Coturnix japonica: one gene and its partners. The protein of the gene in region 2 interacts with the protein of the main gene of each other region in a pairwise test. Links are inferred from orthologs where the notes say so. Each region holds a gene or a part of one and is shown on either strand. Other genes may lie near its edges.

Region 1 (4,115 bases), on a different chromosome or scaffold from region 2:
ACAGGACCCAGGACCCACGGCCGCTCCGGCTCAGCACAAGCAGGGGCCGCTGCCGGCACCGCTGCACGGGCACAAAGTTCAGGGCAGGAAAACAAACAGGAGCCGCGGATGGAGGGACACCGCGCAGGCAGGGGGGAGGCAGAGAGGATCGCGCTCCTTATCTGAGGTAATGTCACGCAGTGTAACGTGGAATCAATCTTAATATTTGCAGCGCAGCCGATATCCAGCTCTCAGCCGTCAGCAGAGCTGAAGCGGGACCCGGCGGCACAGGAGCCCGTGCACAACACGCACCAACTGCACCGACAGCCGCGCACCGGGCAGCTCAGCTGGGCTCTGCTGCGTGCACGAGGCGGCTGCTAACCTCTATAACCCCAGATTTTCAGCTTGCAACTAAGAGGGCTGCAATGGAGCACCAAATACAGCTAAAAAGCAAACGAGTGCAGGTGTTCAGTTTTAAGGCCAGATTAGGAAAAAAGAAAAAAGAAAAAAAAAAGTCAAAAAAGTCCTTATTGTCACAATGAAGAGTACGATATTTTTCAAAATTGTCTTATTTTAAAAAAAGAAAAAATCTCTGTAAATTCAGCGATGTAAGAAATTTGCAAAAATCCCTTCAAACGCCTTCGAGACAAACGCGACATTCCTTCCCGTCTCATTAATGTTGCACGGAAAATAACGTTGTTGTGACCATCATTTCAGTGTTTCAAACCCCGCCGCCCGCAGCTGCCAACGCGGAGCCGGAGCCGGAGCCGGAGCCGCTCTGCACGCGCGGCCGCATCCGTCACTTCGGCGCTGCCCGTCCCTCTCCAGCGCTTCCCTCGCGGCGCTGCCGGCGCTGCACGCGGCGGATCCGGGCCCGGGCCGGGCGCTGCCGGGTGCCGCTGTGCGCCGGTACCGCGGGCAGGGCAGGGCAGGGCCGGGCGCATCCCGGAGGCGGCGGAGGGCCGCGGCCGAGCAGCGGGCGGCAGCGCCGAGGCGCGGCGGAGGAGGGCTCAAGATGGCTGCGGCGCGGGCCGGCCCTTACCTGTTTTCTCCTTGATCTCGCAGAGGACGCTGAAGAGCGCGGGCTTCATCCTGTGGCAGTTCAGCGCGTGCTTCCTGCAAGAGAGCACACACAGCGTTAGCGCCCGACGCGAACATGGCGCCCGCCGCGCCGCGCCGCCAGGCCGCCCGCAGAGCCCGGCATCGGGCCCCGAAACCGGCCCCGAAACCGGCCCCGGCCCGCACCAGGAGCGGGCCCGAGCGGGGCCGTTGCTCCGTGCCACACCGCGGCGGCGCCTCTCAGCGCCGGGCCGGGCCCGGGCCCCGCTGCGCGCGGCGTAAATCAGCGCCGTCCGGGGCTGATTTATTGCGGAGCGGCCCGGGCCGGGCCGCGCTTTGTTTCGCAGGGCGGTGATTTAGGACGGCCGCCGCTCTCTCCCCCCGCGGCGGTGTCTGCTCGGCGCCGCCATCCATCTCCCGCCGCGCCGGGCACGGGGCAGCGCCGCGGAAAGTTGCGGCCCGGCCCGGGGCCCGCGGACACACGGACACGGGACGGGGCCGGCTCGAGCACCTCCCGCTGCCGCGTTTATCGCTCGGCTCGAGGCGTTCAGCGGCGTTAAGCGGCGTTCAGCGGCGCTCCGGCCGCGCCCCGCTCGCCCGGCGGTTCCTCCGGCGCCAGAAGTTCTGTCCCGGCCGCGTTCCCGGGCCGGAGCTGCGCGCCCCACGCGCGCCGACAGACAAGGCGTAACGAGACGACACCAACTTTGCTTGCGCCTCGTCCAGGCTTTGGTCGGTGATGGTCATGATCTGGTGCAGGATGTCCCCGATGTCCTGCTTCCTGCCGTCGCCGTCGGCCCCGTCGTGTCCGTGTGGAGGCGGCAGGGCCATGCCCCCCTGCACCGAGTGCCCCGCCAGGTTGACGCCCGCCAGGGTCTGCAGCATGCGGGACTGCTCGTCCATGGCCCCGCGCCGCGGGGGCACTGAGCGCCCCGGCTCGGCCCCGCCGCTCCGCGACGGCGAGAGGCGAAAAAAAAAGGCAAAAACACCAAAAGGAAACGGCGGCCGAAGGAGCGGCGGTGCCGGGAGCGGCGGCGGCTGGAAACGCGCTGTTCTCCCCGGCGCGGTAAATCACTCTTCTTTAGTTACAGTCTTCTCCCGTCAGCACCATGTCTGTGCCGGGCCGCTGCCTGTCCCCGGAGCGATCTTCCTCCACAGCGTTTTATTATGAGCAGTAGTATGATTGTTATCCTCTGCTATTATTGTTTTTATTGTTGCTTTCTATGTCTTTTCCCCACTTTGTCCAAAGAATCTTCTATGCGAAAAGGCAACAAAATAAAAAAAAAAAAAAAAAGTAAAAAAAAAATAAAAAATGACAAAATGCCCAAAGTTGGATTATTCAGATCCCGCAGAAGTTGGGAGGGCAAAGAGCAAAAAGCACAACGAGCCGAGCGGCCCCGGACCGACACATCAAAACGGCACCAAAACACGAGCAAAATTAATGCCCTCCCCCCAAAAATCACCAACCATCCCGGGTGAGCGGGGGGACGGCGAGGAGCAAAGTTTGAACTCGCGCAAAGAAAAGAGCGGAAATCGAGGGGAAAGAACTGTAAAAAAATTAATTACACACTGTGTGCGAAGCAACGTGCAAAAATATCAGCCGGCGGGGATTTATGAGCGCGGCCGCCCGGTGACTGTGTGTGCTTTATGTTGTTTGATGGCCGCTCCGGTGAGGGATTGACAGCCTGCCAATGCCACTCACTCACCCCGCAGACGTGTCACCCTGTGAGCAGCGCCGGACGAGCCACAGGACGAGCCGATCCGCCCCGCCCCGCAGCGCGCCGCCCCTCCCGCCCCGCCCCGCCCCATCGGGCGTGTCCGCCGCCGCCCCGCCCCGCGCCGCGGGGTCGCCCTCCCGCCGGGCCCGGAGCCGCGGCGCTCCCCGGGGGGCGGGCTCCGCGCGGAGCGGCGGGACCGGCGGCCAATCGGCGCGGCCGCGGGCGGGCGCTCCGGCCAATCGGCGACAGAGGCGCGGCGCCGCGCCCGCCCGCCCCCGCGGAGCCCCCGCCCCCTCGGCCGAGAAACTTGCGATTGGGCCGTTCGAACGGTCACGTGGCCCCGACGAAAGCCGCTCCGGCCCCGCCCCTTCTGTTGCTATGGGAGCGCCCCGGCCTCCGCTACACGCCGGCACCGAGACGGGACCGCGGCAGCACCGCGCGGCGGGACGGGACGGGACGGGACGGGGCAGCGCCCAGAGCGTGGGCGGTTTCAGAGCGCTGAGCTTTGGGGACGGAGCTTCGGAGCTTTACGAAGTTGGGTTCCCTCAGCTCCATAGCAAACAGCGCGGGGCTGTCACAGATGTGACGTGTGTACAGAACAAACAGCGGCTCGTGCTCCCGCCGTGTTACCTGCACATCCCGCCGGCCCCGCGCCTCCCTCACCTGCCCGGCCATGCCTGGCTGTCGCTGCGCGGTGTGACGGCATTAACACAGTCTCGGTTCGGCGCTGTGAAGCCCCGGCACGAATTGGAGCCGCGCTCGGCGGGGACGCGCTCTGTGTGACGGACTGCTCCGGATAAAAGTCATGTCCAAACTAAAACCTCTCCCCAACATCTCCTGGATGTGCAGCTGATGGCACAGGATCAATGTGGCCAATAGAGCTCTCCATGTTCCTCCACAGCTCCCGCTGCTATCACAGCTGACACCACCACGTCTCCTCCCCTCAGCACCATCACTCCGACGTCCCCTGTTTGACGTGGGGTTCCTCTCCACGTCCCGTGGGGGATGTTCTGGCTATTTCGGGTTCAACACTTTTACTGTTCCTCCAGGTAGTTAGAACATTCTCTAACATCTTCCATCTTCATTACTGAGACATTTTCTGGTATGAATGATCGCGTTCTTAGTGTCATCCAGCTTTATTAAAACTGCTGCTCCAAAGAGCTGTTCTATTCTCATTATTTCGAATACTTTGCACGTCAGCTTACATTTGTCCACCAAGTGTGAGGCTCCACAGACACAGCCGTGCTGTAGTAGAGCAGCACAGCCCTTCAGGGGCGGTTCAGTCGCAGCTCCATCCCGCACACATCCCAGCACAGCACAGCACAGCACAGCACAGCACAGCACAGCACAGCAGTGTGCTCC
Region 2 (4,028 bases):
ATTCCCCTTTACCCCCTTCCAACCTGCCTCGCTCCAATATTAACAGACCTGAAGTCATCTTCTAGGAACCTAAAGACCCAATCCTGCCATGCTACACCACTCTTTTCACTTCCAGGGACAACACTAGTGCCCAAATACTGTCACATTTATTGACTCAAAATGTCTACACCTGCTCTAACTTCACACAGAACTCGTGGCTTCAGGAAAGTTAATGACCCATGAAGCTGTGACGTGAGTGAAACCAGAAGGAGCGATGCAGCTGCAATGGCTTGGACTGTCCAGCCAAGATATCACAACATAGATATCTTATCATAAGGCAAAGCCCTGGTTGCACTGCAGCACCCTATCACATCTGCTGAGCATTCAGCACAGACCGCCTGAACATCAAACGCTGCTCAAACAGGTTTTTAATAATGACTATTTTTTTTAATTGCTCATGAAAGCCTACAAAATGCTCCAGCACCACCCGCTGCTTCCCCCTCCTCCCAGATTGCACCGCAGAGACCAGGCAGAAACTGCTAATCAGGAAAATACAAGATGTTCTTGGATAAGAACGGAGACATGCAAATAGCATTCACCCAAGAGACGATCACAACATCAGGGAAATTCTTAATTAGGTAGTATTTAATTGCACGTTATGCACTCACAAGACCCCTCAAGGCTCAGCAGTTAATATAATTACGCAGAGTGGGTTTTATTATATATATATATATATTAAGCTGTCTAGATCAATATTGCAGTTATTAAATTAAGAAGCTGGCTCCATCACCAGCATAACGTCAGGTAAGCAAGGGCTGGTAATCCAGGGGGCTGCTGGAAGAAAAACAAAGCATTTCCTTCCGAGCTATTAGTCTGAGTTATCTGACAGCTCTTCAGGGCACTATGGAATTGGCTGATGGTCTCGGTATGCTTTCACACAGAAAACGGAGTGTTAATGAAAAACATTATTTAAAGCTGCAGTCATTACGTGAGATAATTTGCAGGCAGCCTCCTGGTGAGACAGAAGAATTCATTCCCATCTGTTCAGGGGGATATATCCATACCTAAGAGCATACATTGCTTTTTTGAAGAGTTCTTTGGTACAGGAACTCATTCTGCCTGCCTGGAGGTATTCAGAACCCACCTGGATGCTTTCCTCTGCAGCCTCCTTTGGGGTGCTTGCTTTAGCAGGGGAGCAGCACTAGATAATCTCCAAAGTGGTTGCCAACTCTTTGAGTTGATCTACTTGATCTACTTTTCAAGTTAGCTTTGCTTTGAGCAGGAGGCTGGGCTAGGTGACATACGTAGGTCTCTTCCAATCAAAATGATGCTAGGATTCCAGAGCTAGCACATAAAAACACCCGAGAACAAAACATCTGATTTCAGGCATATTCATTGTAGGGCCTTTTCCAAGCTCAAGCAAACTTGATATTTCAAGATTCAGAATAGCTATTGCAACAATCCTAGCCATCAAACACTCACTGCAATAATAAGGTGATGCTGCTTTCCACACTTTGCTGAGCATTACTACCAGAGCTGAGCCAGTAGATGCTGCTCCATGAGTGAATTCTTCATCTACTGCAGGTCAAGGCCTGCCATATTAATGCTACAGTCCTACCTGCGGGTTAAAGAGGGACCTCAAGGCTGAGACTTTGCTACAATCTGGCACAAATGCTGCATTCACGCAGGTCTTTGGAAGTTTTCTTCTTCTGTCATTAGGTTTATCCATCTGATCACAGAGAAACTGTAACCAGTTAACGCCAATGCATAGAAGTAGTGTGTTATTCCCAATCCCTCTCTGAATGAGAACCTTGCCAACCTTTGGGTTGTGTTTCAGAGCAGTAGGCCACGACTCAGAGACAGCACAAAGATGCAGGACAATTATTAACTCACTGTGTTACAGCCCTTGAATCCCAGAACGCAGCATGGCTTAGGTTGGAGAGAACCTGAAAGATCTTTTGGATCCAATGCCCTGCCATGGGCAGGGCTGCTAATCACTAACTCAGGGCCCATCCAACATGACTCCAAGGATGGGGCATCCATAACTACTCTGGGTAACCCATTTCAGCACCACACCACCCTAACCAGTACTTTACAAAAGGTACTTCCCAATGCTGAGAACACTTTGGCCAGGTCAAAATCACTCTTACCCAGGAGGAGATTTAAGAATGCTTGCTAAAAAGCAGGGAGGAAATGCAACATTTTACTTATGTTGTCATGGTGACTCGTTCATTCATGAAGCATCTCTTTTCTTCTAGCTCCTGCAACCAAACTGCAAAGCTTTCAGCAACGCACCCAAAACCCCAACAGGGAAGCTGGGAAACAAGCAGCACATCACCCTAGAAGGCTCTGAAAGTATAACTAATGGAGGAAAAACAGGGGAAAGAGTCTAAAAGGCTTCAGTCTCACGAGCAACATGAAGAGCAAAGGGGGCCGATTTCAGCCTCTGTGTGAGGAGCTGCTTCCTCCTGAAGTTAACGGGTAACTTCCGAAGTCCTTTTATTTCCCGTTTCTCTACTAAACATCGCACAAAAGTTTACAGCCTCCCTCATTCCACGCCCTCCCCCCCTAGAAATTAAGTTAAAACACAGAACAGCAGTTTCTGTCGGTCTATACAAGCCCACAAAGCCGTCACCTTCCTGAGGTGAGTTCCCTGACCAGCACCAACTTCGCCTCCTCAGAAACCCATTAAGGATCACAGTTGGGGGATGGAGGGGGGAATTGGGAGGTAGAAGGCCGAGGGGGGGCCCACCTGGGCGACAACCCCTACTAAAAACCCCTCCACAAAAGGCAGAAACAGCCACTTCTCCCTCCACAAACACCCCCACGCCTCCACACAAGGCACCATACCAGCCTCAACGCCCACCCCCGTACTCTTTTCTCCCAGCCGACCCACCTCGCCCCACAACAGCTCAGCCCCACATAGGCTCTGCCCCATATCCCCCCCCGTACCTTGAGGCTGACGGCAGGCAGCTCCATGGCAGCGGCCCGCCCGCCCCGTGACTCCCACCGTGGGGCTGCTCCCCGGGGCCGCCCAAAGGAGGGAAGGAAGGCGGGAGCGGCCGGGACACCGCCTCCCTCAGCGCCCTGCCCCGGGGGTGGATCCCAACATGGAGGGGAACCTCGTTGGGGTTTTTGTCTCAGCTGTCAGGCTGTGAGGTGTTAGACGAGGAAGATATGGAGGATATGGAGTGTGTCCAGGGATGGGAATGGAGCTGTGTGTGGGAGCGCAGTGTTATGGGGAACAGCTGAGGGAAGGAGATGGGTCAGGCTGGGGGAGAGACCTCATTGCTCTCACAGCTCCTGAAAGGGGGTTGTGGCAAGGTGGGCTCAGCCCTTGAACTTTGTAACAGCAACAGTATGGCCTTAAGACACAGCAGGGGAGGTGCAGGTTGGGTATTAGGGACAATAAAGAAGGAGCAGCTGCCCAGGGAGCAATGGGGTCACCATCCATGGAGGTGTTCAGTGTGGAGATGTGGCACTGAGGGATGTGGGCATAGTGGGGTGGGTTGGGTTGGACTTGATCACAGAGCTCTTCCCCATCCTTAAGGAGCCTATGATTCAGAATTGGGACTCCTTCGCCTCTTGTTCTGAAGGCTTTTCCCATTTTAGAGCTGGGGAAGTTGTTAACTAAACGACCAACCCCAACCCACAGTGTACAGCTATGAATTCCTTTCCTGCCCTGTTTATAACAGCCATCTTCTTCCCACATACAGCAATAGGATAGCAGAACCAAGAAGTAAGGGTGACCCTCTCCAACCCTCCCTGCCCAGTATATGCATGACCCATTTGCAGAGCATGACATTTCACAGACAGATTATGACATTTTGCTGGGTTGGTTTCTTTATTGTAATTTACTTTTAAGACAGGGCCTCTAAGAATGAGAGAGGAGCCAGAAGTTCATTGCAGAAGCTGGATGTGGAAATGTGTGAGTCACCCTTCAGTCCCACATCCAGTTCAAGCAGTGCAGTGCAAGGTTATGTATAGGTTGTCTGCAGTAGGGGATCTGAACTCACACGTTCTCAACCAAGCCACAAACAGGCCTTGGA
Region 3 (4,164 bases), on a different chromosome or scaffold from region 2:
GTTCTTGTCCCGGGTGACCCACGGCCAGAAAAGTCGGTGGAAGAGTTTTTCCTGAGATAGAACCAAATCAGAGCTCCCCAGTAACGGGATTATGGTGAGGACAAGCTTTGAGTTTCTGAGCCCAAACACGCATTGTGACATATGTGCACTTACTTGTTCAGAGGGCAGATCTGTGCTGGGGACAGGAGGTCTTACACCTCTTTGTTGTTTGTTTGTTTTTATCACGGACACTGATTTTTGTTTTCCTCTGGTTGCAATCAGCATTTCATGATGAGGTTGTGCTGTGAGCATATTTTATAGCTTTGATTTCTGAGATTCTCTGCAGCCAGTGTTGATGCCCTTGTTCATAAGATCTGTTGTGCATCTCCCATTGCTGAACTCTGGTGCCCATCTGGGCAGAGGGGTTGCAAAATGAACTGCTAGTGATCGTCCTGCAGGTCAGTGGCTGGGTGAGAATCAGGCCACCTCTCAGCCCACTGCTGGTGGCACCGCCTGGTTAATGGCCGTGTGATGTTTGAGACACAGGTTACCTTCTGGTACCACATTTATACCCCGGCTCCCAGCAGTGCCCAGAGTCCATCAGTCATTTGCTACAAGGAATGCCATGCACGCCAGCCCTTCTGCGCCTGTGTCAGTGCTGCCGTGTGCTGCAGGGCTCCTCTGGGTGCTGCCTCCCCCTTCCCTTGGCGTGCCCAGCTCTGCATCTCCTCACTGCTCTGTTTGCATGTGGTGGGGCACAGACAGCCAGGGAGTGCTGAAAGCTGTTAGTGAAGTGGTAACTGTGATAACTCATGTGAATAAGGCTTGAAATCAATTAATGACTCATAGAGCTCTGACAGATGCAGAAAACCAGAAGCAAGCAGCGCTGGTTGCCTTGTCAATTTCAGTCCTTGTAGCAAAGTCCGTGTCAGCCAAGGCACTGGGTTTGCTTGTAGGGTTCAGGGCGGCTGCAGCGTAGTGCTTGAGGCTGGGATTGAGCAGAGGGACATTGCTGCAGGGCAGGGAGCTGGGAAGGGAAGCGAGCAGGGCGGCGGGGTTCAGTGCTGTCAGCAGCGAGCCAGTGGCCGGGAAGGAAAGGAGGGATCCCGGGAAGCCACGGCCGTGCCCTGGGACACGCAGCATCCCCGTCCCCCATTGCTCTAATGGGATACCTCACGCAGAGAAGATTCTTTGCAACCTGCTCTACCTGGCAGTGGTGGGGGGCGGTGAGTAGGGGTCCCAGCTCCCACCCCCACTCCTTCCTCCGGGGCCGGGGTGTTGCGGGGCGAGGCCGGCCAAGCCAAGCCCTGCCCTCCCCGGGGCCAGGCGAGGCCAAACCGGGGCTGAGGAGGCCGGGCCGAACCGTGCCACGCACCGCCCCCACCGGAGCCGCGTACGGAGCGGAGCGGGAAGGTGGCCCGGCCCCCCCGGTTCTGCCATCACCGCACACATGGCTCCAGCCGCGCTGCTCGCAGCTCTGCCCCGCCGCGGGCTGCTCCTCCTGCGTGCGCGGTACGGACGGGGCTGGGAGGTGGGGGGGAGGGGGGGAGCTACCGGGGGCCGGGTGCAAGGTGAGGGGGATGGAGGGGACGGGGGGACTGCGGGGCCGTGCAGAGGCTGTTGGGCAGGGCGGTGCGGGGCCGGCGGGGCCGTGGCTCCGAGCTCTGCAGCTGGTCGGCTCTTGCTTTTGTTTAACGCTGCCTTTTGAAACGAGCTCCTGGGAAAAACGGCGACGGGAAAGCAATTGGCTTCGGAGATGCTTGGAAGGATTAGTTGAAATTCTGCCTCTAATCCTACCCGGAGGCGCGACTTCTAAGAAGTAGCAGGGTTCGCATGCAGGTAATTCTTTTCAGCTGCGCTGTGATGGGGAGGTACCGTCTCAACATCTGTTCTAAAGAGGATCAGGAGGGCAGCAGCACAGAACGCTGATTGCAGGTTGGACTCCAGCCCAGCGTTCCGGGTGAAGCTGGGTGGCAGGAACCGTGACTCGCACCGAGTATTGAGAATAAACTTTCTAGTAACGTGAAGACGCCTGAAATTCTGCTCTTAGCACTGAGCGGTACTTGTGCTTTGGGCAGAACCAGCGCAGGAGGGAAAGGCTCACACGGGACAGCACAGCCGGTCTGCTGGAATTGAAACCCGAGCACTCTGTGAACACTCACCATCCCTCTGACTAAAGTCAACAAACACAAAGTAATCAAACGGTGATTAACCTCGCAGCCAACTGCGCTGCGTTAAAGAGCAAAGAAGAGGTGAAGGCAGCGCCGAGCAGTGCCGGCTCACCACTCTCCTTGCAGTTGCTTTATACAAAAGACCCAGAACTCGTTGCTCTGGGAAGGTGGCCGTGTCAGATCTGCACGAATGAGGAGCTGCACGTGGCGGCCCGGAGCTTCCCCAGGTCCGAGCTCTGCAGTTGGGTCGGTTCCGATCCACGTGCGCGGTGCAGTGAGCTCACACCGCCCTGAGTGGTGATTCCTGCAGAGATGGGAAAAGATGAGAAATGAATCTGGTTATCTTATGTCAGCGGCTGTAAAACCTTGGCTAGGGTTAATCACACGCAGCTCCTGGGGCTGATCCAGACTGCTTTATAAGGTTTGATGGGTGCCTGCTGGGTGGGAGCGCTTTCTGGGCCGGCTGTGATCCGTCTGCTGGGTTGGGATCTGTGTGTTAAGGAGTGAGGATGAGGCCCCGGAGCTTTTCTGTGCGGGGGAATTTCTGGGACTCGCATGAAGAGCTTTTCAGCTCCTTCTCATATTGAAAACCAGCCCTCATACATGGGCTGTGGGGATCTGACCCCTGTGAGGTTCCCCCCCCCCCTCAGGGCCCCCACAGGCCTGGGAGGAATCGGGCAGTTCTGTTCTGCCCGCTGTGGGTGTCTCACCTTCACTGGCAGCAGTGCAGGGCTGTGCATGCAGCTCAGGAGGGCAGGAAATCACATGGATCACACTGTATCAGCTGGAGGGTCTGGATTTCAATTGAACATTCTCCACTTTTCTTTCTGCTTTTTGTTTTGTCTGCCCCGTGCTGAGGGAACATGTGAGACCAAATGTGTTTTTCTACCCGGTTGGTAACGGTTCCTTTGGGTTGTGTCCCAGGAGGGTCGCGGTCTATGAAAGCCTTGAGCAGCTCCCAGCACAGCACAGCTCAGAGCCTGCTGCGCTCCAGGTGACCCCGGTGAAAGTGCTCTTGCACAAGCAGGTCGGCTTTGCTCGCTGACCCCCAGGCTCACCTGACCCCGGCTGACCGAGGGAGCTCACTTGTTTCTCTGCGCAGCTGGTGGGGAAATGTGGAGCGTCACCATAGAGATGAGCTCTGCTTCCACTGGAACTGGAGGTGCCCTGGCTATAGGGAGGTGTGAGCATTGCAGTCTCCAGTGATACCCTGCAGTTTGTGGTTTCCTGCTCTGACAGTGCGAGGTATGGAAGGGGCTTTGCTAAAACTGCTCCACAGCAACATGCTGACAGCTCACCATTTCCAGAGTGAATGGCAGGAACTGCAGTGCTTTTTATTGCCTCCCTAAAAACACTCATCTGTGGATTAGGGAGAGCTTTTTCAGCTCTTATCAAAGGCTTTTCTTCTGTGGAGCTTGCTTTCATCTCCTGGCCTTTATATGTGCCCAGCCCAGGAGTTCTGAAACAAAAGACAATTCTCTTTTCTGCTTGTTTGATTATATCCTCCCTCCTTCTGGGGCAGCCCTCAGAGCCGCAGTGTGAACTGCTGTACTAAGCTGTGGGAAGTGGCTGCCTGAACAGAGCGGAGCTGTGCTACTATTGCTAACAAGGAGTGTGGAAAGGGTCAGGCTGTGCTGCTCTGCTCTCAGCTCAGCTGCACCCAAGGGCAACAGCTCGACTTGTGCCAGCCAGGAGGCAGAACCCCACTTGGCAGTGGAAGTAACCCCATGTTAATCTTGTTTCTCATGGGCAGGAAAGCAAGTTCTAGGTTGCAGTTAGCACAAAGGCTTTGCAGAGCATTGATCCCATAACAAATGGGCAAAATTTGATCTCAGGGTGATCTGTTGTTTTGTTTTTTTTTTCCTCTGCCCCACATCTGTGGACAAAGGGCAGTGCTGCAGAGCCTGAAAGTGCTGCTTAACCCTGTCTGTCCTGGGAATATCCCAGAGTAGAGGAAAGTAGGTGAGAAAAATAAGGAGAGGACCCAGCAGGTGCAGAGTGCTGGTAGGGCTGC
Region 4 (4,118 bases), on a different chromosome or scaffold from region 2:
GACAGCTCGCCATGAAGCGTGGTAAGGCTGTTGTGGCTGACGGACAGGTGCTCCTGTGGGGAATCAGGACAAAGCCCCAGTGAGTAGTGAGGGGAGCAGAGCTCAGCCCTGACCCATATTGGGCTGTTGGGGTCCCAAACTGGCTGGGGGGCTCCAGCATGTCCATAATATGCTGTAGGAACCACCAGAGCAAAGCTCAGCCATGGGCTCCACCAACAGCTACGCACAGAACTCGAGCTGCCAGGGAATAATTCCAGGCAGCTGCTGGCTGCTGCTTGTTTTTCTTTTTTCGCTTTTGCTAAGAGAGCCCAAACCTTTAATTCTCCCCATAAACTTTCACCCTTCCCTTCTATTAACAGGCAGAGGAAGAGAGTGTGGTTTCTGGTCTGGTTTTCTAAGAAAACAAGGTGAAACCCAGTACACATCAGCCTCAGCCCCTTTCCTAACAACTCCTGCATCCAATTTCAACCACACTTCCTCACTCAGCCCCTATTATTAGACGCTGGCACACGAGGCAGGCAGGCAGCAGGTTCTTGGCTGCGCAGCCCCCCCAAGTGCCCCATCCCCTGTTTGCTCACCAGCTTCTGCAGGGCAGCCAGCTCCTCGGGCAGGTAGCAGAGCCCTGTGTGGTTCAGCTTCAGCCAGCGCAGGCTGGTCATGGCCTTCACATGCTCTGGGAAGTAGCCACCCTGTGTGGGCATGAAGGTAAGAGAAACTGTATGACCCGTGGGGTGACAATGGAGAGACAGGGCTGGTGCTGTGGGGCTGCTGAGGGACAGATCACCCAGTATTATGGAGCTGGGGACTGGGATCACCCAGCCCCATGAGAACGAGATTTAAGGATGGGATTTAAGGACGGGAGCCTTATGGGACTGGGATCTGCAGACTGAGGTCACCCAGCCCTACAGGATGAGGACTGTGGGCTGACACCTCCCGGCCTTCCAAAGCCCCGCTCACACAGCAGGGCCTGCCAGGGTCACAACAAGGGCCGGGACTGACCGGCCCTAAGCGGGGACCTCGGGGATGGCCGGGCCTGGCGGGGAGCGGACAGGCCTGACAGTCCCTCCCATCCATGGCACTTCCGCCGGCTCTCCCCCCACCCCGCCCGGCCCCACACCGGGTACCGCCCCATACCGGGTACCGCCCTACACCCGGTACCGCCCCTACAGCAGGTGCCGCCCCCGCACCTTGAAGTCGTTACCGCTCAGGTCGACGCCGCGGACGAAGGGCAGCACCCCGGTGGCCGCCATGACAGCGGGGAACCCGGCGGGACGCGCCACCGCCCCAACACCCCGCCCCGCCCTGACGCTGATTGGAGGCGGGGCCAAGGAGCGCTGCGTTCATTGGCTGCGCTGCGAATTGCGGGCGCGCCGGCGCGCCAGCACGGGCTGCTGGTCCGCCCCGCTGGGAGCTGCGGGGTAAGTGGGGGGGGGCTATGGGGTGGGGGGTGAGATGGGCTCGGAGTTGGGGTTCGGAGAAGGAAATAACCGCGGGTAGTACCGTCAGTCAGTGGGGTTGGCTGTCCTACCTTTGTTTGCCCTTGGCAGCTCGGTGAAGGGGGCTGATTTTGTGCCGGCCCCTTCCGTGGTGCCATTGCAGCCCCCTCGTCCCGTCCCCATCTGTTGGCGGCCGGATCTTTATGGGGTGACCCTTGGTCCGGCCCGGCGCCACCACCGCAGCCGGCAGCAGCGGGATCCGTGGGCCTGAAGGTCGGCCGTGGTGGCGGCTGCCCCGCAGCTCGCGTCCCGCCGGGCTCCCCGCCTTCCCCCCATGGCCGTTACACGCCGGGTGTCATTACGGAGCCGGCTCCCCGCTGTCAGATCGCACCGCACCTTCCTCCTCCTTCCCGCAGGTGACCATGGCTGAGTTCTCGCAGCAGCGGGGCAAGCGGCGGGATGACAGCGGGCTGGGCAGCGTCCTGGACCTGCTGCTGGCCAACGCCAGGCTGGTGCTGGGCGTCAGCGGCGCGGCCGTGCTCGCCATCGCCACGTTGGCCGTCAAACGGGTGAGGCTGGGGGGGTGATGTGCCACTTTGCGTCCCAGAGACGTGCCTCGTTGTCTTCGGGAACCTGCGTGCATCTATGAGACTCCCAGAGCCATAGAAGAGCTGTGTGTGACTGTTACCCTGTCTGTGCCGTCCCCTCCCTGCTTTGGGGTGGGATGTGCTGCTGATTGAACAACGTGTCTGTGCAGGTTTTCCCTGTGGATCCTCCCTGGGTCTCTTTGCTCTCCCAGCAATAGCAGCCTTCTGTAAAGGGGGCTGCTGATCTCGGGTCTCCTCCCCCTCTGCCATCTGTAGCATCTCTCTGTGTTTGCATGAGCAGCAGCAGGTAGAGCATCCCCGTATGTGAACAAGGCTATTTGGGGCCTGTAGCTCTCAGTGCAGTTGGGATGGGGGAGCCCCCACTGCTTGTTCTCTGGGTGAGGTGAGGGTTTTGTGGACCACACACACATCCCCTCCATGTGTCTCTCCCACCAGCTGATAGATCGAGCCACGAGCCCTCGAGAGGAAGATGATCCTAAAGCTGAGCAGAAGAGCCTGGAGGAGAGCTGGCAGGACCTGGCTCTGATCAAGGCAACACCAAAACCTCCCAAGAAGCAGAGAAGGGAAGACCTGAGCAAACCCCTGCTCTCCCCGGCTCCACCACCAGCACCAGCTGATGCTTATGGTGGGTGCGTGTGGGTGAAGATCACCTTGGCTGGCTGTGCCTGTGCATGGGAGCTGGGCTTTATTTTTAGCTCTGTGACCGGAAAGCTGACCCGATTGTGTCTTCCCCCTTGGGAGGCTCCCAAGCTGCGGCCCCTTTTTTGGCAGTGCCTCAGTAGCAGCTCCTCTGATAACTGCTGGTTGGTTGGTCTGGTAACTCAGCCAGTTGGTTGGTAGAGGCTGCCTTGCCTTTGTTTCCTGTTGAACAGCGCTTGGTTTTTGGGTCAGCTCTGTCTAGGGAGGAAGATGTGCCTGTGAACTGCTGCAGACAAAGGCTGGCTTGTCCAGCTGGCTGCAAAGGCGGTGTTTTCTGAGTAGGAAAGCAGCCCAGCCTGGTGCTGGGCAGGTCCTGAGGCACTGCACCCAGAGTGGGATTGATTCAGGACTCAGCAATCAAGGAGCTGTTAGGGTAGGGGTGAGCAGTGGGGCTGAGCCTTGTGAAGGAGCCTGGTGGTTTGTGCTTTGTCTGGCTGCTGCTGTTTAGCTGGGCTTAGCCACCTCTAGCTGGGTGCTGTTGGGTTTGGGGTTTGGATTAAGCCCTGTGTTGGCTGGAAAGTGCTGTTATTCTGTGCCTCTCCTGGCAACATCAGCTTTGTGGCCAAAGGCTGAGAGCTGGGACTTCAGCACATGCTTTCTTTCTTTATGGCTGTGGCATGAGAAGATGTGTTGGCTGATCCATGACTTTTTCCTTGCCTTTGCCCCATCCCCTTATTGCAGAACCCAGGGTCTGCCCAGCGCCCCCAGAGCTTCCTCAAGTCGAGTCCAGCACTCCCTGCTGTCTCACACTGCAGGAGAAACTGCTGTCACACTACAGCATCCACCTCCCTATGTCTGAGGAGCAAGTGGCAGTTGCCCATCAGCTGGCCCGGAGCATTTGTGCTGAGCTTCAGAGCTTCTTACAGAACAAGTGCCCAGAGCTGCCCTTTGGCAGCCTCTTCCTCAGCGGTCCCCTGCTCGATGGCCTCGGAGCTCTTGCTGCTGACCACATCCACTTCATGCTGCCAGTAGTCCTGGATGCCACTCTCTGGAGCCTCATCCCAGGCGAGGACACCGTTGTGAGAAACCCCCAGTACTGGATGATCAAAAGGACTGACTTGGAGTATTTCCCTCGTGGGCGCAGCCCCTGGGACAGGTTTCTCGTGGGCCAGTACCTCTCCTCCAATGTGCTCAACGAGACCCTACACAAGATGTTGGTGGCCTCCATCAACTGGCCGGCCATCGGCAGCCTGCTGGGGACGGTCATCCGCCCGCTCGTGGCCTCCCGGGAGCTGAGGCTGGATGTCAAACACGATCAGGTTGAGCTGAGCATCGGCCTCTTCCCAGTGGTGGAAATGGAGGACAAAGTTCTTCTGGCCGCTCCTCCTGAAGGACTGGTGGAAAACCTCTGGCTCGAGAGCTTTGGCAGGGCGGA
Region 5 (4,159 bases), on a different chromosome or scaffold from region 2:
AATCAAAGCACCAAGGATGATAACAGGGGTTGCTCTCAGGGGTAAGAGCAGCGAGGAACAGCCCCACACTAAGTACAGTGCTGCCACACAGAGGGCTCTCTGACCTATGCAGGCACAGTAATAAAGGGTCACGATACACCCAAGCTGCTTACCATAGGCAAAAATCAGGTCCATCAGGACACTAAGGCTGAGCTCTGAGTGCTTCTGAATCAGGTGGTACGACATGGCACGGAGCAGAGGGACGCTGCGCCGGTTCTGATATGCCAGAGCCAGAGTGATTTTCCTTATGTCCTCAGGGCTGAACTGCTCAGCAAGCTCCAGAGCCTGGTAACATGAAAAACATTGAAGACATAAAGGCACAAAGGAAAATACAGACACTCTGTATAGATCAGGATGTGCCATCCCCCAGGACATCGCTGGCTGAGCCCCTCCAAGGACTGCAGGGTTTCCATACACCTTAACACTGTCATGTAACAACTGATGCAGGAAAGGCTGCTGAATCACAACCCTGCTTCCCATTGGAACTCCTGTTTCCATTTGACAACAGCTGTAGTTCCAGCTCTGCATAAGCTGACAACACCACATTCAGTGTCTGCAGCAATATTTTATCCCCAGGGTTGAGGAAGAACAACAGTGGGGCCCATGAGCTGCAGGGATTGTTGCTGTGGCAGCTGTTTGGCCGGTCCCCAGCGCTGGGCTGGATAAGGACCGAATTTGACTCAGCTGCAGTCATGGTTCTTATGGCAGTTTCAACCCAACAGACATTTCCCTGCTCCTGGTAGTGTTAAAAAGAGGGACCTGCTGGAGAACAGACCTCCCTGCAGACTCCTTGCTCACAGCTTGACTTTCACAGAGAGCCAGAGGACAATGCTTTTGGCAGTGCTGTTATGCTGCCGCTGCAAGTTACCGCCTGGAGCTGAGCTAAGGTAATTCTACCACAGAGCTAAGGTAATTCTAGCTGCGAGGCAAAGCACATCAGCCCAGTGCATCTCTGAGCAGCTCAGACCAACGCAGCCCATGTGTGAGCTCCCCATGTGTGAGAGGGAAATGTTCCTTCAGGTGATGTCCCAACCGAAGGGAACGGAGCACCCAAGCCCATACCTTGTCCTCTAACCGGTCCATCAGCACTGATGAGATATGGCCAACCTTAGCAATCAGCATCACCACGGTTCGGGTGCCCTCCAGCTCCGTCCATCTCAGCTCCAGCTTCTTGACGATCTCATTGAGCAGTTTGCTCTCCTTGTCCTGTCTGACAGCTAAGAACTCAGCCAAGGAGGCGAGCTGACGGAAGGTGAGACGCCGCAACCTCCACAGCACCTCGTGCTCCACAGACTGCATCTCCCTGCTGCTGCTCTCCATCCCCAGCGAGTACAGGCTCTTCAGGAGGCCCACCAAGGTGTTATTCCACACCTGAGATATCTGAAAGGCAAGTGAAAATAGTTAAGTAGATATTTACCCTTGTCTGGAGGTGTGTGTATCTAAATTCCCTTTGTGGTGTGGCTGGAATATGAGCTCAGTGAGCAGTGAAACAAGAGGCAGAATCACAGCCAACGATGCTCAGGGCAGGATGGACCAGGTGGCATCCAGCAAACAGACTCTTTAACTTGCCCTGACTGCCCCAATTCCAGCACTGGGGTCACTCTCCTTGCTCTGGGGTGCACTCTACTGAACCACAAACACCTGCACCCTTTACTTGTGTGCGACCTGAAGCTGATACATCTCTAGGTGGCAGCTATGACAATACACAAGGGAAAGAGAAAGGCTGCAACTCGCTGCTGTCCCACACCCATTTGTTCTCCAACCTCCAGCACAAGGAAGGAGCTCACCTGAGAATCCACGATCTCAATAAGCTGCTGAAATCGTTCATCTCGCACAATGTCCCTCGTTTCCAGCTTCTTTTCCACCGCAAGCCTGGAAAGTCGTGTAACCACCAGCGAAGCTTGGTTGCTATTAAGAGAGTGAAGTTCACCCAGCTGGAAGAGCTCCTGAGGACTCACGGCTGCCTCGATGAGGTTCAGCATGGCTCTGTGCTCCGAGTTACTGTTTTCTTCCACCTGTTCTTTGACAGAGAATCTGTCCGCACTCCAGGTGACGGGGACGGAGGTGTGGATGGAGGTTAGAGGTGTATGTGGCAGAGCTCTGGCTGCTGGCACCTTCCCATTAGGCAGCAATAGAGCGGCCGGGGCGGCAGCAGGAGCACAAGTGAAGGTGGTGAGGTGCCTCCAGCAGCAGCGCTGCACCAGCCGGGCTGCCATGGTGGGGATTTAAAGGGTTCAAAGCCGCATCTTGGGGGATGCTGGAGGAGGAAAAGAAAGGCTTTAAGAACGGGAATATCAGGGGGGGAAAGAGGAGAGCAAACAGGTTTAAAAGGGAATGACAAAAGCACTATGAGCGCTCCCATAGAACAGAACTGAAAGGGGCAGCCCCACATATCACTTTAATTAGGAGATGGCCCCAAGGTCACAATGTCCAGCCATTATAACTCAGCGCGGCGGCTCCTATCGCTGAACACTGAATAACACCCCATAGAAACCCACTACAACACGAACCCTGGGCCTACCCGCCCCGTGGGCCGAACCGGCCCCAGCTCCCGGCCCGACGGGCTGGACCGGACCCTCAGCGGCTCCCGAGGCCTCAACCCTTTGTAAACCCCATTGTGGGCCTGTATAGAGCCCGAACCCCGATACCGAACCCCCCGTGTCACCGAACCGGTTCCGTCCACTCTGACCTCACCCGGCCCCACCGCACGCTGGCCCGGTAATGAGACGAAGTGCGCATGAGCGCCGGCGCAGCTTGATGACATCATCACGCACAGCTGCTTCCTATTGGCTGAGTTCCTTGAGAGAATCGAGCGGGAAAGAGGAAACGCTTCCGGTTCGGCTCTGAGGGGGAGCCGCCATTTTGTGAGGGGGGTTGTATAGAGGGGACGGGTCCAGGATTATCAGATTTAGGCAGGTCACAGCCCCGGGCCCGGCTGTGGGAACGGGGGGAAGCAAACAGAGGCTGGGGCGGTGCTTTGGCAACACTTGGCTGAAGGCAAATAAAAGGAGATTGATGTTCTGGGTACGTCCCACCCCAGGGCTGTTTGTTCAGCTGAGGAATGACAAAGGGAACAGCTGTAAATGTAAAGAGAAGACATTGAGGTTCGGCATCAGGGCGGTGTCACAGCCTTGGAGCCCTCATCACTGAGCTGGATGTGGTTATGGGGCTGTAGGAGGTGATGTGTGACCATAGAAATCACAGAATTATCAAGGTTGGAAAAGACCTAGAAGATCATCTAGTCCAACCGTTACCAATACTTCCCAGCTAAATCATATTCATCAACACAACATCCAGAAGGATGGTGGAACATAGGTGGGCTGTAAGAGCCCTTCCAAGCATTGAGGGGAGGCCTTAGTGCTCCCTGAAAGGAGACCGAGCTGTGGTGGGGGGGTAGGCTTCTATTCACAGGTAACAGTGATAGGATGAGAGGGAATGGCCTTAGGTTGTGCCAGGGGAGGTTCAGGTCGGATATAGGGCACAACTCAGAGCTGTGATGCATTGGCACAGCTGCCCAGGGAGGTGGTGGGGTCACTAACCCTGGAGGTGTTCAGAACCATGGGGATGTGGCACTGAGTGCTGTGGGCATGGTGGGATGGGCTGGGGTTGGAGCTGGGGGTTTCGGGGGTCTTTTACAGCCTTAGTGATTGTGTGATTTGTGATCTTTGTAAGGGCTCATTCCTGATACAGGTAGCAGCTGTAAGTGCTCATTCTTGCTATGAATAGCAGCTGTGAAGCAAGAGACCGTGCTGCAACCTCTGTGGGAACCTGACCCTTTGCTGAACCATCTCTCAATAAAACATTGAAGAGAATTCCCCGTGTTGGGCCATGACTGGCTTCCAGCCACCTTTCTTGTGAGAACACGGTGATGTTGAGCTTGGAAATGACCCCAGGCTGCTATGAGGCGTCCCTTCAGTCTCAATGCTGAACAAACCCACTGCCCTCAGCTGCTCCTCACCAATCCAGCCCTCCAGCCCCCGACTCCATATCCTGCAGCACAGCTGGGGGTGTAGATACAGCCCAATGTGGGATGAGGCCCCACATCCCATGGGCACAGCCACGTCCCCACCACAGCTCTCCCCCCACAGATAACGGCCGCGTTGTGGCTGCTCCCCCTGAG
Region 6 (4,103 bases), on a different chromosome or scaffold from region 2:
TTTGGTTTCCATTTGACTTAGCCTGGCTTCAAGGCACCATGCAAAGTTCAGTGTTCACAGTGTCTTGCAGTAGGAATCAAGGTGATTCTGTTCCCCCCAGTTAATCTAACTAATAAATCGCTTAAAATTGAGTTCAACGTATTAGATCTGAACTTGGATCTCCTCTATAGGTGATACATAGGTGATATATAGGTGATATATAGGTGATATTAGGGGTACTGCCTCATTTGGGCTATTGCATAGAAGTTTCATTAGTACCAACGTGATGGATTGTGAGCACAAACTGGGTGTTTACAATTGGACGGTGTCAAATTGGAAGCAGAAAACATAAAGCACGTTGTTCAAAGCTCATGTGAGAACCCAGCTGGCAGCACAGCTCCTGGGTTTTCTATTGCTTTGTGTGGGCGGTTCTGCTCTGCTGGGAAGTCAGGGCGTGTGAAATACGTGCCATTAATGGAACGGAGTGGAAGAGTTATATTGTTAGCTCCAGGAGATGGCACTGTGTCCTGTGTGGGCTTCAGATGATATACATCGCCTTGAAATCTACATTCAGAGCCAATGAAAACCTGGGGGGGTTCTGCTCTTGTTATGAAATGCGTTTCATGGTAGACCTCAATTCGTGTCCAACTGCCCTAAATATGGCATTCAATCGCTCGTATCTTTGCAAATAAATTAGATGTAAGTGCACCTTCTGCCATTGTGCAGTGCTTTGTGTTTCGTGCTGCAATCACAGGGCTTCCCTGCGAGCTGCTTTATGGCCATTCCATTGATAGGAGCAGCAATGTACACTTGGCATGATTAACTCCGTAATGTAAGCACTCGGGTTTCTCAGATGGCTTCAGAGTTGGCTGCCCGTGTGTTGAGAGATGTCAATTAGTAACAGTGTATCTGAAACAACAAAATCCCAGTGGACATGGTGACATTGTTCGATTGGGAAGGAGGCACTTTGTCCCTGAACTTTACATGTGGCGTTTGAAACAACCCAAAGCAGTTTTTATTTGCGCAGCCAACTCGGCATTGCTGATAGCGACGGGCTGACCAGAAGGGAAATGGGTGAGGCCTTCACATCCTGTGCTGTATCTCCCCTGCTGCTTTTCTAACAGGCTGAAGCTCTCGTTGTGCTGTTGTAGTGCGGCCGGCACAGCCCCATGTACCCGCGGTCCCCCCGTCCCATCACACCCCCCGTGTCGGGCCGTTTAAATCCGCCCCATTGGCGGCTGTTGCCGCCCTCCCTCCTTCCTGCCGCGCCGTGATGTCAGCCGCTCCCCCGCCGGGGCCGCCGGCTCCATCCAGGCCGGCCGCCTCCCGCCCGCCCCCAGCCGCACCGCGGGGCCCCGCGGCCGCCGAGCGCTGCCCCGAACCCAGCGGGAGCCGCGGCGGACGGGGAGGAGGCGGGAGCCGCGTTCGGCAGCCGGGGGAGGAAGCGGCAGAAAAAAAAGCCTTTGTGTCGGAAATCGGCGTCGCGTGTCTCCCGCTTTGGCCGGGCTGAGAGCAGCGAGCTCGGCTCGGTTGGTCTTTTCGCCGCCCCGGGCATGTCTTGACATAGCAGAGAGAGGCCGCCGCTTTCGCGCACTTCCGACGGATGTCTTTGAACGTGCGACGGGCGCTTCGGGTTTGAGACTTTGTAGAGCTCCGTGCGTGTGCCAAATTCACATGATCGCGGGTTGAACGAGGAAGAACGGCAAGAAAGGAGCCGTTGTGCCGCCGATCTCCGCCGGGTCCGCCCCGCCCGGACGGTCTCGGGGCTGCGCGGGGAGACGAAGGCGATCGATCCGAGCGGCCGCCCCGCACTGCGCGGCACTGAGCGCTTCTCGGCCGGCAGCTCCGCACCGACACACGGGAATATGCTGATGAAGGAGTACCGGATCTGCATGCCGCTCACCGTGGAGGAGGTAAGCTGCGCTCGGCTGATCCCTGGCTCTATCTCTACCCGGGATGTTGGGGTCGGCTTCGCTGCGGGCGTTCGTTCGTCCTTCATTTGTGTGACAAACTTGGGCTGCCCGGAGCGGCATCTCTGCGGTGCGGGATGAAGGGGATGAAGGGTCCTGCGGCAGCGGAGCTGAGTGGAGCGTGTCAGGAGCGTTAGTGCCCGGCCATCAGCTGCAAAGCTCCAGCAACACAACGTGTGAGCTGTTTCGAGGGAGCGCTGTGCGGTCACATCCCGACCTGCGGGAGGTTTATCCGAAGTCTGCGTGCTAAATACATCCTCACCTTTGCTTAAAATAACCTTGCGGGTGGCAGTCGCGCAGGTGGGGTGTCATCTGTTGACAAAACTTTTTGAGTTTGGATTATGTTTTGCTTTTTGTTTTGGTCACGGTTGGGAGTCACAAACTGCTTTATCTCCGTGTTCTGAATTCACGTTCGGAACGTTGCGTTTGATTTATAACGCGGGGCAGCCCGCAGGGTGCCCACAGCCGCCAGGGGACGCTGTGCCCGCAGGTGCTGGAGCCTCTCGCTCTAAAGAACATTCCCAGTTTGCAAAGGGACTCGTGCTGCTTCGGGTCTCTTTGACGTGGAATCTTGCAAGTATTAAATCCAGGAACTGCAGGTGAGATGGCCTTGTGAGGGACATGGGGTGTGTCTGACACATGGCATGAATTTCGTTATTAGTTGTACAAATAAACTATGACAAAACTTTGAAACTTTCATGCTTTTTCTTTTTGGCATTGTTTGCCCATCAAGCATTTCCTATGAGGTGCTGTTCACTGCTGACTGAACTGCTTTTGTATTCTGAGCTAGGAGGCAGAAACAGCTTTGTTCCTCTTCCCTAAGCACCAACATGGTTGTTCCAAGAGCCCCTGCAGAGGTGCTGGGACACTGGGCTGTAGTTCCCATTCAATTCTGAGGCTCATTCATTAAAGGGAGCTTTTATTGACAGTTTTTTAAAGTCTGTTACATATATATTGTTGCAGGTTCCCAGCTTAGCCTTGAAATAATTTTGTGAAAGGAAATATTATGTGAACTTCCAAACAAAATGACAAAACTACTGGAAGAACTGTGCAGGTTAGGTCAGAACATTGCTGTTGGTTGAATAACCCAGCAATGCTGCCAATTGGAAGTCACTCTGTACTTCAGTTGTGGTACTACTGGATTGCGTGCATGCAAATTCACTCCTTTTGTTAAAACTGAGACCTTGCAGATTACAAAAAGCCATTTCTTTTCAGTCATATGTAAAGCAAATGAAATCTATTGCAGTAATTGCTTGGGACGTGTTGCCAAACTTCAGCCCAGTTGCAATTAATGAATGAGGCTGCTTCTTGATGAATATTTTTCCTCTTGCATTTTCATTTATTAGTTCATTCTTACAAATAGTTACATCATATGAGTGAATATCATAAGGGTGTGCATTATGTTGGCTTTATTAAGCATCATCTGATGAAAACATGTTCCGTAGCAAGTGAAAGGAGCACCAAGTCATCGAGAGTAGCAAAGGTGCTAAAAAATTGTCCAACTCTTTCTCATTGCAAGTCATAATTGCGTAATTCCTCATAGGAAGGATCATATGGTTGTGTGCCATAGAGGTGCCTTTGTGTGAGATCTGCCAGGTTGGCATGTTAGTGAGCTTCTTTTGGGGGAGGTGAAGCACGGTGCAGTTGATTTATGTGGAAAGTGATATTCCTTAGGGGGAGGAGGAGGAAACCATTTCTGCTGGATCATGTTGGAAGAGGAGCTGTCTGCTGTAAAATGCTAATAAAGACGTGATGCTGGGATGCACATATTTTGAAGCTGAATGCAAATTACAGTAATGGTCTTTTTATTTTTATTTTCCCATTAGAATGGGATGGGTTAGTTCTGATCTCTGTGTTTATAGGTAGTATCTAAACAAATGAAAACCAACCAAACAAAACCAGGATTTCTTTCCTTTGTTCTTTATCTCGAGCAAGATTATCTCTGCTGAAGTTGGTGGAATCGTGCCCATTGGATGCTGTAAAGACAAGCTCAGTGAGTTCTGTGGGCAGTGCTGCCTGAATGAGCCGTGCAGGAGCAGCTGTGCTGTCGGAGTGCAAACAAGCAGAGACCTGCAAAGTGTTCTTCAATGGGGATTGTGATTTACACCGAAGATCCTTTTAGCACTGGGAAATGGTGGCCTGAGGGGTGCTGCG
Region 7 (4,081 bases), on a different chromosome or scaffold from region 2:
TGGGCTCAGCTCCAAGCAAGCAAAGCGAGTGAGAACCCAGATACTGGGCGTCAGGGATGGGCTGGTGGAATGCAATGGGGGCTCACCTCAGGGCGGCTATAGGGCCTGGCCAGCTTCACGCGGGTCTGGTCCAAGCAGGGCACGTCCCCATAACGGTTCTTCTCCTGGTTGTAGGGCGCCCTGGGGCAGAGACAGGGCAGGGCAGCAGGGCATCCCAAGGCAATGCCCGGGGCTCTGCTGCCATCACCTGGCTGCAGTCCCGGGAGCAGCGTGCACCAGTTTCCCGCTGCCCCTCCCACCCCATTCAACTCACAAGGAGCAGACGAAGGTCCCGGCCGGGCTCCGGCGCCGGATGTCCTCATACTCCTCATAGATACCGCGCTTCTGCTTGCGGCTGACGTGCTCCAGCAGCTCCTGCGGGGTGAGAGCCTTGGGGCCGGGCACGTGGAGCGAGCCGTTGTCACGAGGGGTCACCAGTGGCACCAGGATAAGCTCATCCAAGGGGTCGGGGTGCCCGTTCTGCTGCGGTAGGAAGCGGCAGTTCCAGCTGAGCGGGTCCAGCTTGAGGCAGCCGCCGAGGGTCTCGGGAAGGCACTCGCGGGGCAAATGCTCCTTCAGCTCCGACATCTTCACCATCTGCACCTGCAGAGGACAGGCATGGGCACTCAGCTCAGCCGGCAGGAGGGCTCTCCTCAGCTCAAGCAGCAGAGATCTTCGGGCATATTGTTCCAAGCAGCAACCAAGTTTATCTTCTCCCACGTGGCTCGTTTTCTTTCCCTTTTAAAGCTGCCAGCCCCCAGGAGCCTGCAGCCCCCACACTCACCCTCTCACGCAGCTTCTCCTTCAGCAGCAGGCTGATGATGGAGTAGGGCACGCGGAACCACATGGGTGCTCCCACGATGAACACCTTCTTCAGCCTCGCTGGGAAAGCGCCCTGTGGACAGCGAGGGCTCAGGGACGGCTCGGCTCCACGCTGCAGGACTAACCCACACCCAGCGTGGCCCCACAGCAATGACAACCGCAGGGTCCTGGAGCAAAGCAGCTCCCAGCACAGTCCATGCTCCAGTCCACATCGATTTCCATGTGGCCAGCAGAGGGCTGGGCTTGATGAGGCAGCGGTGAGGGCGGGAGCAGGGCTTTGAGCCCCAGCTGCTATTTACTGGGAGCTATTTTTCCGGAGAAGGGAGGAGGCACGAAATGCCAGCACCATTAAAAAATAATTTGCATCTGTTTTCATGAAAGAGCTGCCAGCAGCTGTGTGAGGAATCCAGCGCGTGGGGACAGCTGATCCCCTCCCAGTGCCTGAGCCTCCCCCCGAGGGGCTGTGGATGGCACCCAACCTCCTGCATCCCCCCCCATCCCATCATCCTGCCCCATCCCATCCCTGCCGTCGTTACCTTCAGCAGGTTGAGGATCTTTTTGCTGAGGTCCAGCTCGAAGTTGGTGTATTGCGAGCCCGCCATGTCGTAGATGAACACCAGCCCATTCCTCTGTGTCTCGAAACTGGGCAGGGGGAAAAAGCAGCACCACTCCAAGATCATGGACGCACCCTCAGTGACCCCAGAAGAGTCTCCTCTGTGTTCCCAGTGAGATGAAGAGCCCGAAGCTGCCTCTCCCCCACCCTGAGCCCATCCCAGGTACATGGTGTCAGCCCACAGACAAAGCCCAGCCATAGGAACGGGGTGACTGGGCTCAGTGTTCCAGCAGGGCTCCCACGGCCGGGGCTTTCCAAGGGCCGGAGATCCCCGGCACAGTAACACGAGGCACATGCGGACGCCTTAAGGATGCCACTGATTTTTGCCATGCCTGGAAGGCTTCTAAACGGGCTGTCATCAATCCTTGGCATGCAAACATAGGGCGAGCTGCTGCTTATAGGCTACTTGAACTAACAGAGCTTGGGCTGCGAGCAACAACAAAGCAGCATCCAGAACACAAGGCAGTGGCAGAACACAGAGCTCACCTCTCCACGGCCCTGTCCAGCAGGTAGAAGAGCGCCTGGAGCACCACATGCTGCACACTGCGGCTGGGGTGGTGCAGCTTGGCCGTGAACAGGGCAATGGATGCCCCTGAAGGGTCCCGAACGCTCTGCAGGAGGAAAGCAAGGTCATGGCATGACTGTAGGCAGCACCACACTGTGCACTGCCACCCCATGCACCTACCAGGATGGTGAACTTCCCACTGAGCAGCTCTGAACGCAGCGGCTCTTCGTGAGGCTTCAGCTTCACGATGCCCTCCTTGAGCCGCGTCTCCTGCAGTGGGAACACAGTGTGACCCCCAGTATGACACACAGGGATGTGTGAGCCCACAAACCCCCTTGACATACGCGGTAGGAGTGGAAGAGCTCAATGGCCCGTAGGACGTCGAACTTGCGGGCCATGAGGAACTTGACGGCCACGTTCCAGGAGAGCGGGGACACATTGTACTGGCCCGTCCACTTGTTGATCTCTTCCAGGAACTGCTTGGTGGCCTGCAGGACACAAGGACATTCCTATTAGCATCCCCCGGACTCCCCAAAGGCAATTTAATGGGGGGGAAGAACTAGGTGGCAGAACAAGGCTGGCACTTGGCTCGACCCAAAGCGATGTCAGATGGGCCAGCACCAGATGCGCCCCGAAATGTGATGTACCTGCCCACCTTCTAGAGATAAAGCGGGCAGAGGAAAGGAAGCAAAGCCCTGCGTCACTGCTGCGTCCCAGATCCCCGAGCTGTGGGACAGCCCCCCTTCCCACCCGCACATCCCAGGGCGATGCTGGGCTGCCAGCCCCGCTCCCGAGCCCAGCAACATCCTCCCGCGGTGACGCACGGCCGGGGAGGAAGCCGGGACGTCACGGGAGGTGCGGGGCGTGGGAAGAGCGTGCACACAGCCCCGCACAGCCCCACGGGCACCAAGGGGGGCGGCGGCTCCGTTACGGCGGCGGGGTAGAGCCTGCGGGAGAGCCGGGGATGGAGATGATGAAGCAGAGGGGATGCGTAACGGAAAGGAACGGGGATGGGTGGGGGGGCGTGCGGATGGAGCGGATAAGGGGCAGACGGAGGCTGCGTGGATGCAGGGGGGAGCAAAGCCGTCCGCCGCCCGGTGCTCGCAGCTCGGCCGGCACGTACCTGCTCCTCCTCGGCGCTCAGCTCCGCGGCCATGCTGCGGCCGGGCCGTGCGGGCCGTGCTAAGCGGCGGAGCCCATCCCCGGAGCGGCGGCACTGCGGGCACCCGCCCCTCCCTGGCGGCCGCTCGGAGACGGCGGCGGCGGCTCCGCCCCGGGGTGTCCGCGACCGTGAGCGGGGAGGGAAGAGAGGATGGGAAGGGAATGGAGGAGATGGGATATAGATGGAGAGAGGAATGGAAACGGAATAAGAAAGGAAAGGAGAAAATGAGATTGAAAAAAGAGAAAGAAAGAAAGAAAACGAGAACGAAACGCAAATGAAAATATTCAAATGAAAACAAAAAAATAGGAAGAAAAGGGAAAAAAAAAAAAACCAACAAAACGCCGTAAGGATCGCAAAGCGCCGGGAAGTTCCGCTCGCCCCGGGAAGCGCCGCTCGGCTGGGGGTTGGGCCGCCGCCGCTCCCCGCCCCGCTCCGCTCCGCCCGGCGCTGCCCCGCGGGGGCGGTGGCAGGAAGCGCCCGCAGCCCCCTCCCCTGCGCCCGGCCCGACGGCGGAGGGAGGGGCGGGCAGGAAGCGCGGCGGGGCGGGGGCTGCCGGTCCCGGGCTCTGCCACCCGGGTAGCGACCAGCCGGACCCGCTCGGGATGGGTGGCACCGCCCCGGTTGGGGGGAGGGTTGGGCCGTCCCAGGGCCGGGGGTCCGCGCTCCGCAGCCGGGGACATTTTGTTCGGCCGAGGAGCAGCGCGTTGGCAGCTCGCCCGCAGCCGGAGGGTTTGCACCTAACTCGCAGAAAATGGAAGAAAGGGCAGAGAGAAGCGGCTCGGCCCCTGCCCCGAGCGCGGTGGCAGCGTTGTGGGGCTGACCTCCACCCCACAGCCCCGCTCCTAACGCACGCTTCCTCTTCGCCCTTCTTTCTCTCCGGCCCGGGGGCTGCTTTAGGAACGGGAACCATCAGCGTGCTGTCGGCCATCGAGCGGAGCCC

Evidence for each region.
Region 1: the proteins of AGTRAP (region 2) and PBX3 interact in a two-hybrid assay, tested with the Homo sapiens proteins (4 studies listed by BioGRID). The two-hybrid records come from large-scale screens. The link is inferred for Coturnix japonica from reciprocal best matches to the Homo sapiens genes AGTRAP and PBX3.
Region 3: the proteins of AGTRAP (region 2) and ACSF2 interact in binary tests that used the Homo sapiens proteins (3 or more experiments, as listed by UniProt). The two-hybrid records come from large-scale screens. The link is inferred for Coturnix japonica from reciprocal best matches to the Homo sapiens genes AGTRAP and ACSF2.
Region 4: the proteins of AGTRAP (region 2) and MIEF2 interact in binary tests that used the Homo sapiens proteins (3 or more experiments, as listed by UniProt). The two-hybrid records come from large-scale screens. The link is inferred for Coturnix japonica from reciprocal best matches to the Homo sapiens genes AGTRAP and MIEF2.
Region 5: the proteins of AGTRAP (region 2) and TBRG4 interact in binary tests that used the Homo sapiens proteins (3 or more experiments, as listed by UniProt). The two-hybrid records come from large-scale screens. The link is inferred for Coturnix japonica from reciprocal best matches to the Homo sapiens genes AGTRAP and TBRG4.
Region 6: the proteins of AGTRAP (region 2) and PITPNC1 interact in binary tests that used the Homo sapiens proteins (3 or more experiments, as listed by UniProt). The two-hybrid records come from large-scale screens. The link is inferred for Coturnix japonica from reciprocal best matches to the Homo sapiens genes AGTRAP and PITPNC1.
Region 7: the proteins of AGTRAP (region 2) and PTPN9 interact in binary tests that used the Homo sapiens proteins (3 or more experiments, as listed by UniProt). The two-hybrid records come from large-scale screens. The link is inferred for Coturnix japonica from reciprocal best matches to the Homo sapiens genes AGTRAP and PTPN9.

The regions. Positions count from the first base shown.
Region 1 is NC_029532.1:8,212,710-8,216,824, reverse strand, and holds the start of PBX3 (pre-B-cell leukemia transcription factor 3), read right to left. Parts: upstream 2,801-4,115; 5' UTR 1,939-2,800; coding exon 1,742-1,938; intron 1,705-1,741; exon of another isoform or gene 1,550-1,704; intron 1,523-1,549; exon of another isoform or gene 1,225-1,522; intron 1,096-1,224; coding exon 1,022-1,095; intron 1-1,021. UniProt on the Homo sapiens protein: Transcriptional activator that binds the sequence 5'-ATCAATCAA-3'.
Region 2 is NC_029536.1:4,903,981-4,908,008, forward strand, and holds the start of AGTRAP (type-1 angiotensin II receptor-associated protein), read right to left. Parts: upstream 2,801-4,028; 5' UTR 1,709-2,800; coding exon 1,598-1,708; intron 1,324-1,597; exon of another isoform or gene 1,124-1,323; intron 1-1,123. UniProt on the Homo sapiens protein: Appears to be a negative regulator of type-1 angiotensin II receptor-mediated signaling by regulating receptor internalization as well as mechanism of receptor desensitization such as phosphorylation.
Region 3 is NC_029533.1:9,091,188-9,095,351, reverse strand, and holds the start of ACSF2 (medium-chain acyl-CoA ligase ACSF2, mitochondrial), read left to right. Parts: upstream 1-1,364; 5' UTR 1,365-1,429; coding exon 1,430-1,491; intron 1,492-4,164. UniProt on the Homo sapiens protein: Acyl-CoA synthases catalyze the initial reaction in fatty acid metabolism, by forming a thioester with CoA. Has some preference toward medium-chain substrates. Plays a role in adipocyte differentiation.
Region 4 is NC_029529.1:5,099,115-5,103,232, forward strand, and holds the start of MIEF2 (mitochondrial dynamics protein MID49), read left to right. Parts: upstream 1-1,318; 5' UTR 1,319-1,418; intron 1,419-1,852; 5' UTR 1,853-1,858; coding exon 1,859-2,005; intron 2,006-2,479; coding exon 2,480-2,669; intron 2,670-3,424; coding exon 3,425-4,118. Other genes in the region: FLII (protein flightless-1 homolog), read right to left, coding at 1-53, 579-689, 1,188-1,250. UniProt on the Homo sapiens protein: Mitochondrial outer membrane protein involved in the regulation of mitochondrial organization.
Region 5 is NC_029517.1:3,562,580-3,566,738, reverse strand, and holds the start of TBRG4 (FAST kinase domain-containing protein 4), read right to left. Parts: upstream 2,801-4,159; 5' UTR 2,729-2,800; intron 2,297-2,728; 5' UTR 2,256-2,296; coding exon 1,827-2,255; intron 1,420-1,826; coding exon 1,102-1,419; intron 729-1,101; exon of another isoform or gene 587-728; intron 325-586; coding exon 153-324; intron 1-152. UniProt on the Homo sapiens protein: Plays a role in processing of mitochondrial RNA precursors and in stabilization of a subset of mature mitochondrial RNA species, such as MT-CO1, MT-CO2, MT-CYB, MT-CO3, MT-ND3, MT-ND5 and MT-ATP8/6. May play a role in cell cycle progression.
Region 6 is NC_029533.1:7,047,882-7,051,984, forward strand, and holds the start of PITPNC1 (cytoplasmic phosphatidylinositol transfer protein 1), read left to right. Parts: upstream 1-1,303; 5' UTR 1,304-1,844; coding exon 1,845-1,892; intron 1,893-2,554; exon of another isoform or gene 2,555-4,103.
Region 7 is NC_029525.1:1,988,089-1,992,169, forward strand, and holds the start of PTPN9 (tyrosine-protein phosphatase non-receptor type 9), read right to left. Parts: upstream 2,801-4,081; 5' UTR 2,786-2,800; coding exon 2,627-2,785; intron 2,468-2,626; coding exon 2,324-2,467; intron 2,250-2,323; coding exon 2,160-2,249; intron 2,086-2,159; coding exon 1,961-2,085; intron 1,504-1,960; coding exon 1,398-1,503; intron 935-1,397; coding exon 824-934; intron 643-823; coding exon 314-642; intron 181-313; coding exon 87-180; intron 1-86. UniProt on the Homo sapiens protein: Protein-tyrosine phosphatase that could participate in the transfer of hydrophobic ligands or in functions of the Golgi apparatus.